3 linked regions of the Canis lupus familiaris genome follow. The protein of the gene in region 1 interacts with the protein of each later gene in a pairwise test. Links are inferred from orthologs where the notes say so. Each region holds a gene or a part of one and is shown on either strand. Other genes may lie near its edges.

Region 1 (3,510 bases):
ACCTCCTACTATTAAAGGATTGAACTTTCTCAAGTGTGCAGTGCATTATCACTAAACTCCTCTGCTTTTTAAAATTTTGTTATTATTGCTATCTCATTTTCTTTCTCTTTGTGGGTTTATGTTTTTTAAAAAAAAGTCTTCCACTATCATTTCGTGGTGTTTCAGTATGTGATAAAATCAAAGGTGTACACTCAAGCAGCTATCTTTACCTGAAGCTGTATATACTCATATGTAGTGTAAGTCTTGTCTGCCGTTTTTAGGATTCTCTCCTTCTTCTGCCTTCCCAGCTTGTCCTAGTATGCTGGCATTTGACTTCATTTACCTTCACTAGATGTAATATGGAAAACTTAAAAAGTTTTAAAGTGTTTATGGTTTATTTTTGACTTGTGATCTAAAATGAGACTTTAACCTTTATGTATCTCTCTCATTCCAAGCATTTTTATTCTGTGTGACATCTACCATATGGCATTTTGAAGTTTACAAAGTATTTTCACATACATACAGCATTATTTTATTCCTAAAAACCCCTTGCAAGGATAGGCCATTTTATATACAAGATGGGAAAAGAAATGGTTAAACAGGTATGCAATCTACTCTCTCTTTGAGGAGAAAGGAGGATGCCACCAAGAAAGAAAACAGATAATTTATCAAATTTCTTTGTAAACATGCTAATGAGAGACCTCCTGGAAACAAATTAATGGTATTTGCTAGCTTGAGAATACTTTGAAGGGGGGAGCAGAAACAGGATTGTGCTTAAATAACAGAAATTTATTTTCTTATAATTCTGAAAGCTACAAGCCTATGATCAAGTTGTTGGCAAGAGAATCCTTATTTATAGATTTCTTATAGCAGGATGTATCTATTTTGTCCAAGATTGCATATGGTAAATAATCCCAGCATCTATGGATTTATGAGGCATGTCACCCTGGAAAATGCAACTATATGGACATAAAATTAAGATGCTTCATGACTAAATGACTTTTTTGTGTGTGTAAGTAATAAAGAAACCTCATGTTAATCTCAGCCAGAGGGGGTTCTGACATAGAAAGAAAATACCTGGGGAGCTGTACTAATGGTCTTAGAACTCTTGCAGCTTTCCCTCTGCCTCATGATCATTTATATATTTGAAACCATTAGTAAAGCTGGATAATGGCTAAGGTCACTGATTTGAAGGAATATGATTTAACAAACTAATACTTTGTGTTATCCCGCAAGGAAATCAAGGTTCACAGTGGTTAAATGACTTGCTGAAAGTCACATGCTACAAATGGCCAAACAAGTGTAGAAACGAAGTCTTAAATCAGACTCTTTGTACCATGTGACATATGATAATGTGATGGAAACAACAATGACAAAACCTGTGTTGCGGAATCAGAAGTAGACTTGCCTCCTGGTTCTAACACTGATCAGCTGTTTGATTTTGGGCAAAGTACTTGCAACATTCAAAGTCTATTTCCTTACCTATGCACTATCTCCTATATAAAATACACAAGATATCTAAATGATAAATACAACAGAAAAATAGATAAACATGACATAATACAACAGAATGTTTAGGAACATTTTTAAAGGATGGAGGGAAAGAAAAGCATTACTTACTTTTTTCTTGTAATGCCTGCAATTTATTCAGTTCTTCATTCTCTTCATCGCTCTCTTCACTGCTTGTACTGCTCACATCCAAAACTATGTCCCTTTTGGGATCTACTCGGAGAAAGTTGCGGCATTCAAATGTCAGGTGACCAGCTAAGTAAAATAAACAAACAAAAATGTGAATGACAAAATAACACATACACTATATATTTTTATTTTGTTGCCTCATGGTTAAGAAACCAGTTATACTTTTATTTTTATTTTATTTTTTTTCCAGTTACACTTTTAATGATTTAATGTTTAGTTCCAACTTCTATTATTCAGTGGGTAGTACTTTGCTTTTCCTGAATGAACCATGCAGAGAGAGAACTTTTTCCTTTATTCATCAGGGCTTCTAATTTAATAAGCACTTTTTGGCTACATCATACTTCATGTATTTTCCCTTTCTATGTACTTACTTACAGAGTGAGTATATAGCTTTCATCTAATTAAAAGTGCCATGATAATATAACTGTGCTTTGAAAAAAAAAAAAAGATTTATTCATTCATTTTAGAGATAGAATGAGCATGGGAGGGGGAAAAAGAAAGAGAAACTTCAGCAGACTCTTTGCTGAGCACGGAGTCTGATACAAGGCTTGATCTCAGGACCCTGAGATCATGACCTGAGCCAAAACCAAGAGTCAGAAGCTTAACTGACCGCACCACCCAGGGGCTCCTGATGGCGTTCTTTTTATTTATTTATTTTTTATTTTAAGATTTTATTTATTTATTCATGAGAGAGAGAGAGAGAGAGAGAGAGAGAGAGGCAGAGGCACAGGCAGAGGGAGAAGCAGGCTCCGTGCAGGGAGCCTGACGCGGGACTCGATCCCGGGACTCCAGGACAACGCCCTGAGCCAAAGGCAGGCGCTAAACTGCTGAGCCACCCAGGGACCCCTGATGGTGCTCTTCTAAAGAACACTTAAATAAAAATTTCATTCTGAAAAAAAAATTCATTCTGGCATCATTTGCCTCCTAAAGACTCTCCCAATAATAAAGCTATAATATTTACTTATTTATCACATGATACCATGTATTCAAAAATCAAATAGGACAAATACCAGAAAAGTACAGGAAATTATTATTACTATTTTTAAATGATGTTATTTTTTTTAAGATTTTTATTTATTCATGAGAGGCACAAGGAGAGGAGGCAGGCAGAGGGGGAAGCAGGCTTCCTGCAGGGACTTGATCCCAGGACCCTAGGATCACGACCTGAGCCAAAGGCAGAAGCTCAACCAGTGAGCCACCCAGGTGCCCCCAGTACAGGAAATAATATAACCAATATCCAAGTGCCTATCACCCACATGTTAACATTTTGTCATATTCACTTACAGTGTTTAAGGTAAATGTTTGCATGCCTGTGCGTGCGTGTGCATACACACATACATACACACAGGTGGGACTTTGCACAATTCCTTGGAACCCTGTCTTAATCTCATTCTACTCCCTCTGTCTTCAGAAGTTGGTACACTGCAGTTGGTATTCATCCTTCCAAAACAGCATATTGGATTATTTTATAACATAAACTCAGTGATATTTACCTATCATTCTGCAACTAGTTTTTGCCTCCCAATATTATGTTTTGTATTCATATATGCATTCAAATATAAATTCACACTAACACACTCACAATGAAACAAAAAGTTACCTGAAGCATTACTACGCTTGATACTCAGAAACAAAAATAAAAAACAACAACAAACAGTGCTGATGGTAACTACATAATTGATTTCACAACCCACTAATGATTCACTAACTTTGTGCTAGGGTTTATTTCTAGTTCTCTCTTTGAGTGTGAAATCCTTTGGAAGTTCTAAATTTATACAGTAACAACTCTAGTTAGAGTCCCAATCTTAACCTGGACCCCAAGCCTTGCTTTTA
Region 2 (4,039 bases), on another chromosome or scaffold:
AGAAAGACGCGCGTGGCACTGCGGTACTAGCTAACTGTAGAAGACCCCAAATCTCTTTTTTTCTTTTTTTAAGATTTTATTTATTTATTTATTCTTGATAGACAGAGATAGAGGGGCAGAGACTTAAGCAGAGGGAGAGAGGGGCAGAGACTTAAGCAGAGGGAGAAGCAGGCTCCACGCAGGGAGCCCGATGCAGGACTCGATCCCGGGACTCCAGGATCACGCCCTGGGGCAAAGGCAGGCGCTAAACCGCTGAGCCACCCAGGGATCCCTCTCTCTTTTTTTCTAGCCCCAGGAACACCACCCCTTATTTGCCGACAGCCGAAGGTCACCGGGAGCGAGTCCTCAGCCTCTCTCATGCTCTGGCTACTGAGGCGTCGCAGTGGCACAGATTGATGACAGGTGAGGGGCTGGGGGACCTTGGACTCCTGGGTTTTAGGGAAGAGGGAGCCAGAGCCTGGAGTCCTTGCTGGTCGGAGGAGTGTGAGAGCTGCTGGGAATCCTATGTCTGGATGAGAAGAGTGCCGTAGAGGGCTTGGGAGTTCCAGATCCCAGGCAGGAGGGGACAGGGGTTCAAGACTCCTGGGTCAGGGGGGCGGGGGAAGGGAGTGGGGCCAGACCTGTGGGTCTGAGGGAGGATGGGACTGGGGGCTCGACTCCTCGGTCTGAGAGGAAAGGGGTCCCCAAGTTTGCCATTCTCACTTCCCACTCGTGCTGTCTAGGTGGAAACTTGGACTCCCGAGGAGACCCTCTTCCCCCTGCGCCGCCGCCTCCGTCAGACCCCACCCCCCAGGGGACCTCGCCCCCGAGATCTCCAGTGGCTAATTCCCACTCAGCCGGGTTCTCCCGCGGAGGTGGGGAGCGCGGCGCAGGCCCCGCCTCCTGGGAGCCCACGTGGGAATCCGGGACCGCCCCCCCGGCCCTGACCCAGGAGGAGGGGGCGTGGCCTCTGCGAGTCACGCTGCTGCAGTCCAGCTTCTGACCCGCCCCAGCGCCGCAGCCAATCGGAGCGGGAGGGGCGTGACCCGGGGGTACCGCCCCGAGACGGGAGCCGCTCTCGGCGCCGGGGGGCGTGATCTGGTCCCCGCGGTGGCCTAGGGTGGGAGACGTTTCCAGGGCCAAAGTTTGGTTTTCCCAACACTTGTCCAAATTCGGATTAAAACTTTGAACTTTTAGTCAATAAATTTCTGTCTGTTTGGGGTTGTGACACTGGGGTCTCTTCAGGGCGGAGCTGGAGCCGTGGCCTCCTGCGTCCTGACGGTCTGAAACCTGTAGGTCTGGAAAAGGAGAAGCAGGGCCTAGATTCCTGGGTCTGAGGGAGGAGGGGGTTGGATGCCATAAATCCTGAGTTTGAGGAAGGAGGGGATTGGGGGCCCAGACTCCTGGGTCCGAGAGTGGAGGGGCTGGGGACCCGGACTCCTGGGCCTGAGGGTCTGAGAGTAGAGGGGCTGGGGGCCTGGGCTCCTAGGTCTGACGGAGGAGGGGCTGGTTGCCTGGGCTCCTGAGTCTGAGGGAGGAGGAGCTGAGGCCCCAGACAACTGGGTCTGAGGGAGGAGGGGGCGGGGGCAAACTTCCAGGCTTCTGGCCTTCCTGGCAACGCCCCCCCAGGGCCGGCCTTCCAGGATCCAGCCCCTATTTATGGTTCTGCTCCACGGCCTCACTGGACTGTGGAGGTGGAAAGAAGCAGAGTGAGTGACAGGGAGAGTCAGACAGAAGCAGGATGGCAACAGGGACGCGCTATGCCGGGAAGGTGGTGGTTGTGACAGGAGGCGGGCGCGGCATTGGAGCCGGGATCGCGAGAGCCTTCGGTGAGTAGGGGTCTGGCGAGTCAGGGTCTGGCTACTTGGGGAATATTAGAGATTGGGAGCGGAGGGACCCTGGGAACTAGTGGGTGTGGGAACTTCAGTACTGGAGTCAAGATTCTTAGCCTATAAAAACCCAATTTGCAATGTTAATGAAAGGGTTGACAGCCTAAGCCTGGGGCCTGAGCTTTTGGCAGTTCTCCAAAAATGGTTACTCTCTTTTTCTGGGTCTCAGTTATTCTATCTACAAAGTGGGGGTGGCTGGGGGAATGTGGCTTGCAGGTTTCGGGTTTATTCTGGAACCCAGGGATGGGGGCTCAGGAACCCCAGCAGGCACCTACAGTGGCCAAGGAGAATATGGGTCAAGTCTTCTGCCCTTTGCTCTAGAGGAACATCATGGGACTTTGGGGTCATGAGGGGAACGTTTGGAAAGATGGGCCCCACTCCAGGTGGCCACAGGAGGGCAGCAGAGGCCTTTGCCAAGATCTGTGCTGGAGTAACCTGTTTTTCCATTCTCAGTGCAAAACGGGGCCCAAGTGGTTATCTGTGACAAAGATGGTGAGTGAGCGTCCCTTGGTCCTCACCCCAGCCCCCTCCTCCCTCACACCCAGGAGTCTGGGCCCCCAGGCCCTTTCCTCTCTCAGACCCAAGAATCAGGACCCCAGCCCCTCCTCCCTCAGACCTAGGAGTCTGGACCCCAGCCCTTCTCTCCCTGCAGAGTCTGGGGGCCGGGCCCTGGAGCAGGAGCTTACTGGAACTGTCTTTATCCTCTGTGATGTGACCCGGGAGAAAGATGTGCAGGTGAGCTATTCTTGACCCTGTCTGGCCCCAAAGACTGCTGCTCCGGACTTTCCCTGATTCTGCTGGCCAGGTTCTGGGTCTCCTGCAAAGTTTCTCCTTTATCTCTCACTATGGAGCTCTTGTCACACCTGTCACATAGACTGGAACAACAACAACAAAAATCCCTCACAGTGGATCTCCTTCTGGAAGAGTCTTCCTCTCCCGCCTCTGGGATTCTATCCGTTCACTTCGGTCAATGTCTCTCTGATGTCCACCCTCTGCCCCCCACCCGGACACCAGGTCTCTGCAGTGTGAATATATCCAGCCCTCTGGTGATTTAGGGGAAGCCCCCACTTCCTGTAGCTCCCTTCACCTTGGCTGTGATCCACCTCCCCCTTTGCTTTTTTTTTTTTTTTTCCCCTTTGCTTTTGGGAGTCCAGGATCCTCAAGGCTGGGTGCCAGCCCTGCTCACTTACCTCTTTGTCCTCAGACTCTCATTTCTGAGACTGTCCGTCGTTTTGGCCGTCTGGATTGTGTAGTCAACAACGCTGGCTACCGTGAGTTGTGTGGCCCACAGGCCATTCTCCCTTGGTGTCCACCCACCTCCCCGCTTCCATCCCTTCCTTTCCCTCCCCCTCAGTTCCCCATCTGTCTTCTCCATCCCCTTTCCCATCCCCCTGTCTCCTTGGATGGGACAGTACAGCCCTGGAAGGCCCTGCACTGGGGCTCACATCCTGGCTGGTTCCATCCTGGCCTCAGTTCTTCTGTTTCTAGAATGGGAATGATGATCATGAACAACAGAGTTGTTGTGGGTATTAAATAAGATAAACTACTCGGCCTCATAATTATCACAAATATCTTGAAGAAACAGCTCCCATCTTGTGGTCTCAATTTGCTTATCTATGAAGTGATGGCAATGACCCTTCCCTTTGCTGATGACTATGAAGGTATCCTCATGAGTGTGGTTTTTTAGGTCCTCTTCAAGGTCCCCTTTGAAGGGGAAATGCTGTCAGTTTAACGACTTACCCTTCATAAGAATCTCTCATGTTGGTAAGCCAGGGCTCAGAGAGATGAACTGATTGCACTGAGGTCACACAGCAAGGCCTGTCATAAGAGTGACATCCTCTTCAGCTGCACAACGTGCCCCCCTGCTTATTGTTGGCTTTTTTTAAGATTTTATTTATTTATTCATGAGAGACACAGAGAGGGAGAGGCAGAGACACAGGCAGAGGGAGAAGCAGGCTCCATGCAGGGAGCCTGATGGGGGACTCCATCCCGGGTCACGCCCTGGGCTGAAGGCAGCGCTAAACCGCTGAGCCACCCAGGCTGCACAACCCTCCCACCCCCTCCACCGCTGCGTATTGGCTGGGCAACTTTAAGCAAGTGGCTCACCCTCTCTGGGCTGCATTTTCCTCCTTATATTGTTGTAAAGATCAAAGAGATGGCTAATACCAGTT
Region 3 (4,138 bases), on another chromosome or scaffold:
CTGCCTGTGTCTCTGCCTCTCTCTCTCTCTCTGTGACTATCATAAATAAATTAAAAAAAAAAAAAAAAAAAAGAAACAGCCTCTGTGTGCCTGTCTACCTTTACTTTTTCCTAAGCCCCAAATGGGAGAAAGTGAGGAAGGAGGGGAGAGTACTAGTCAAGGTTCTTTACTTGCACACCCCCAACAACTGTCACCAAACACATTTTTTCATCTCTGCAGGGCAATTTCTACCCCCATTCAACCTCATATCTTTCCTTCTCCTGCAATTCCTACCAAAGATCCGGAAAGGGGTAGTGCCCAAAGCCCTAAGGCAAATAAACACTGGGCACTAAAATGTAAATTAAGGCCTCCTCAAGATCCAGGAAGATCCAGGTGGGTTCGGTCCTTCCAGGGTTGTCCTGAGAGCTACTTGGTTCGGTCCTTCCAGGGTTGTCCTGAGAGCTACTTGTTAGTTAACGCTCTTCTAGAATGAAGATACTAGCTGAGGGCTAGCATCTCTGGGGCTGAGCATGAAATTTAGGTTTTGTTTGAGGCTGAGTCACTGAGAGTCCTGCTGGGTGGTAGGACAAAAAGGCCCCTGTGATAATTAACACAGCACCTCCAGAACACTGAAGGTGGGGGTGTCTGACTTGCTAAACCAAGCGTCTGGGGATGGGGGTGGAGCAAAAGTTCTGGGAGACAGAGACAGGAAGGGCTTTGGATTCTGTTCTGTATTCTATGGCTCAGCTTAGCCTCTCCTCGATAGAAGGCCCGATTTGCCTAGTATTTCAAGATTACCAGATTCTTACCAGTGGAAATACTTTACAAAGAAGAACCGTCGACCAGAGCCACACAATGGCTGCTTCATGTCCTCAGACTGCAAATCCCCCCATGCCTCTGTGGTGGGCACCCCTTCCTAGCCAAGCTCCAGGGGGCACTGACCTTGCCATGCTTGTGGTGTTTGTGCGTCTTTTTATGAGCTTTCTTCATTTTCTTCCGCATCTTCTTGTCCATCACCATTCCCGGTCCCCCCATGCCAGGTGGCAAGGGATTCACAAGAGGCGTGCCAGGAACAGGTGGTGGGTAGGGAGGTGGGTAGGGACCCGTGGGTTGGCATCCGGGGTACCCTGGTTGTGGCGCAGGATAAGGGGGCCCACCAGGGGGAAAAGCTGGATTCCCCTGGGGAGCCCCTGGGGGAGTTGGATAGGGGCCCGGGGGGTAGGCGGGATTCACAGGTGGCGGATGGGCAGGATTGGCACCTCCAGGGTACGCGATGTTAGGGGGATATGGATGAGGCCCTGGCTGTCCTGGTGGAAGAAGCAAAGAATAAGTTAGGATTCCAAGAGCTCAGAGCCTCTGACGATAAACAGGGGCAAAAAGAAGGGGGTTCCGTTTCTCACTCACTACTTACAGGGAAATGCAAAGGCGGGGGAGCAGGTGGGGCGGCGGGGAGGCAAAGCCGGTGGGCAGAGGGAAGGCGAGGGCGGCGGCAGGGGTGGGGAGGGAGGGAGACGGTGACTCGGGACCGACGAGCGCAGGGTCAGCCGAGGAGGAGCGAGGACCGCTTCTGTGCGCGAGGGGGGCGGAGAAAGCGACAGAAACTCCCCGTGCCCGGCTCCTCTGAAAAGCGGTTGCGGCCGAGCCCCCGAGCACCTACCGGCATTGGGATTCCACATGTTCGGGGCCTCCCTGCAGCCTGAGGAGGAAGAAACCAAGGCGAAAAGCTGATGGTGCTGGGGGGGGGGGGGGGGCGGGGGGGGGGGGAAGGGGGGTTAGAGACCCAGCCCGGAGCAGCGCCTCCCGGACTCGCGGAACCGCCTCGACCTCCGCAGGCTTCCTTCCCCACCGTCCCTGCGCTCAGCACCTGCTTCCTGCTGCCCCCAGGCCCGGGGCGCCCTCCCCGCGCCTCCACCTTCCACCACCTCGGGCTCCGCGGGACAGCGCCCACGTCCGCGACCTCCGGGCCCGCTCTCCCCTCCCCTCCCCTCCCCTCTTCGCCCCTTCCCCTCCCATCCTCCCCTCCTCCGCGACCTCGGGGTCCGCTCCCCTCCCCCCCTTCCCCTACCCCCTCCGCGACCTCGGGGTCCGCTCCTCCCTCCCCCCCTCCCCCCCCCCCGCGACCTCCGACCCCGCTCCCCCCTCCCCTCCCCTCCTCTCCTCCCCCCCTCCGCGACCTCTGGGCCCGCTCTCCCCTCCCCTCCCCTCCCCTCTTCGCCCCTTCCCCTCCCATCCTCCCCTCCTCCGCGACCTAGGGGTCCGCTCCCCTCCTCCCCCTTCCCCTACCCCCTCCGCGACCTCGGGGTCCGCTCCTCCCTCCCCTCCTCCCCCCTTCCCCTCCCCTCCTCCCCCTTCCCCTACCCCCTCCGCGACCTCGGGGTCCGCTCCTCCCTCCCCTCCTTCCCCCCTCCGCGACCTCCGGGTCCGCTCCCCCCCTCCCCTGCCGGGGCTGAGCCCGGAAGACTTTCCTCACCCACCGCTACGGAAGGATCTTAAACAACTTCACCGCCCTCAGCCCGGGCAGGCGGAGGGAGGCAGGACCCTCACCCCAGGCCACGGGAAGGAGCCGGAGAAGGCGTCCAGGGAAGAGCCTCCACCGCTGTCTTACGGAGACACACCCCCCTTCCACAGCCCACAGGGCAAGTGGAGAGCCTGGCTCCCGGCTGCCAAGGATCCCTGACCTGGGGACGAGGAAAGGAGGAAACTGGGGAACCCAGACGCCCAGTCACCTTTACACCACCTCCCGGGCGGGACTCATCCTCGGCTCTCACTTCCTGGCCCCCGCCCCCCGCTCCCCGACCTGGGCTTCAGCGCCCGCCCCCGCCCCCGCCCCCGCCCCCGCCCCCGCCTGGTTGGCGAGCGCTTGGCCCGTCCGCGTCGTGATTGGAGAACACAGCCGTCAATCACTCTGGCAGGCGGGGCTGGAGGCCGGCGGCGGCCCCGGGGGCGGAGCGCGGCCCCGGAGGGCGCAGAGGAGTGGGCGGGCCGGAAGCGCCGGGGGCGGGGCCAAGGCGGGCCTCGGAGGGGCGGGGCCGGCTTGTGGGCGGAGGCCCGGGGAGGCCCGGAGGACTCTGCACCGGGGCCCTTTGAGCTCCTCGGGCGGTGGGTGCGACGCCTGGAGAGGTGACCGAGGCGGTGCCAAGGTCCTTGCAGAGCGCCTAAGAGACGGCGGAGAGCTGCCGGGTCTCAGCCCCACGCCTCGGTTTCGCCACCTTCCTCCTCTCCCCTGTGGGAAGTAAAGAAACATTCTTGGGGGAAATACAGAGATTTCCTAATCCCCCTTAGAATTCCCTAGCTCACTTGCATAGCTCCGCCATCCGTCGAATTGCATAAGGCAGAAGCCAAGGAGGTCATCTTTGATGGCTTGTCCCTTGTCCCGCCGCCGCCGCCGCGAAGAGCTCGTTTTGTCTCCCAAATAAATCTGAATTCTTTCCGCTTCTCTCCATGGTCCCTGCTCCTAGCCTATCATCGTCTCTCTACTGGATTGCTGCAATGGCTTCATGTTTTTTTTTAAATCACAATTAACATAAAAAACCATGCACCCCAAACTTAAAAATACTCATTCTTCCTAAGCATACTTAGGCTACTTATTAAAAAAAATTGAGGGGCAGCCCAGGTGGCTCAGCGAGGCCTGACCCTGGAGACCTAGATTCGAGTCCCACTTCGGGCTCCCTGCATGGAGCCTGCTTCTCCCTCTGCCTGTGTCTCTGCCGCTCTCTCTCTCTCTGTGTCTCTCATGAATAAATAAAATCTTAAAGAAAAAAATTGGGTCTCAACTAATATAAATCAAATTTCAAAGAATTGTACACTACATACCACATTCTCTGGTCACAATGTAAAATACAAATATACATCTGGAAATTTAAGAAAACAAAAAGGCTTCCAAATAACTCTGGGTCAAAGAATAAACCATGATGGAAATTAAATACTTTGAACTAAGCCATACTGAAAATACTACATCCCAAATTTGTGGGATATATAAAAAATATTAAGAAGATAAATTGTATACTGTCTATCATCTTGAATTAAGCCCTTTGATAGATTTTTAAAATATTTTTTATTTTGTTTTTTTTTATTTTGAAATAATCCTTAGACTCACAAGAATTTGTAAAAAAAAAAAAAAAAATTGGGGGTGCTCCTAGGGGGCTCAGGCGTTTAGGTG

What was found.
Region 2: the proteins of SREK1IP1 (region 1) and HSD17B14 interact in binary tests that used the Homo sapiens proteins (3 or more experiments, as listed by UniProt). The two-hybrid records come from large-scale screens. The link is inferred for Canis lupus familiaris from reciprocal best matches to the Homo sapiens genes SREK1IP1 and HSD17B14.
Region 3: the proteins of SREK1IP1 (region 1) and PRR13 interact in binary tests that used the Homo sapiens proteins (3 or more experiments, as listed by UniProt). The link is inferred for Canis lupus familiaris from reciprocal best matches to the Homo sapiens genes SREK1IP1 and PRR13.

Annotation. Positions count from the first base shown.
Region 1 is NC_049223.1:49,855,914-49,859,423, forward strand, and holds part of SREK1IP1 (protein SREK1IP1), read right to left. Parts: intron 1,744-3,510; coding exon 1,600-1,743; intron 1-1,599. UniProt on the Homo sapiens protein: Possible splicing regulator involved in the control of cellular survival.
Region 2 is NC_049222.1:108,190,863-108,194,901, forward strand, and holds the start of HSD17B14 (17-beta-hydroxysteroid dehydrogenase 14), read left to right. Parts: upstream 1-1,239; 5' UTR 1,240-1,271; intron 1,272-1,608; 5' UTR 1,609-1,720; coding exon 1,721-1,808; intron 1,809-2,321; coding exon 2,322-2,360; intron 2,361-2,520; coding exon 2,521-2,603; intron 2,604-3,072; coding exon 3,073-3,139; intron 3,140-4,039. Other genes in the region: PLEKHA4 (pleckstrin homology domain-containing family A member 4), read left to right, coding at 290-402, 723-982. UniProt on the Homo sapiens protein: Catalyzes the NAD(+)-dependent oxidation of L-fucose, yielding L-fucono-1,5-lactone, which rapidly converts spontaneously to L-fucone-1,4-lactone. Can also act on D-arabinose and L-galactose, with lower catalytic efficiency. Does not use NADPH.
Region 3 is NC_049248.1:44,879,454-44,883,591, reverse strand, and holds the start of PRR13 (proline-rich protein 13), read right to left. Parts: upstream 2,801-4,138; 5' UTR 2,706-2,800; exon of another isoform or gene 2,450-2,705; intron 1,704-2,449; exon of another isoform or gene 1,676-1,703; 5' UTR 1,656-1,675; coding exon 1,637-1,655; intron 1,287-1,636; coding exon 922-1,286; intron 1-921. UniProt on the Homo sapiens protein: Negatively regulates TSP1 expression at the level of transcription. This down-regulation was shown to reduce taxane-induced apoptosis.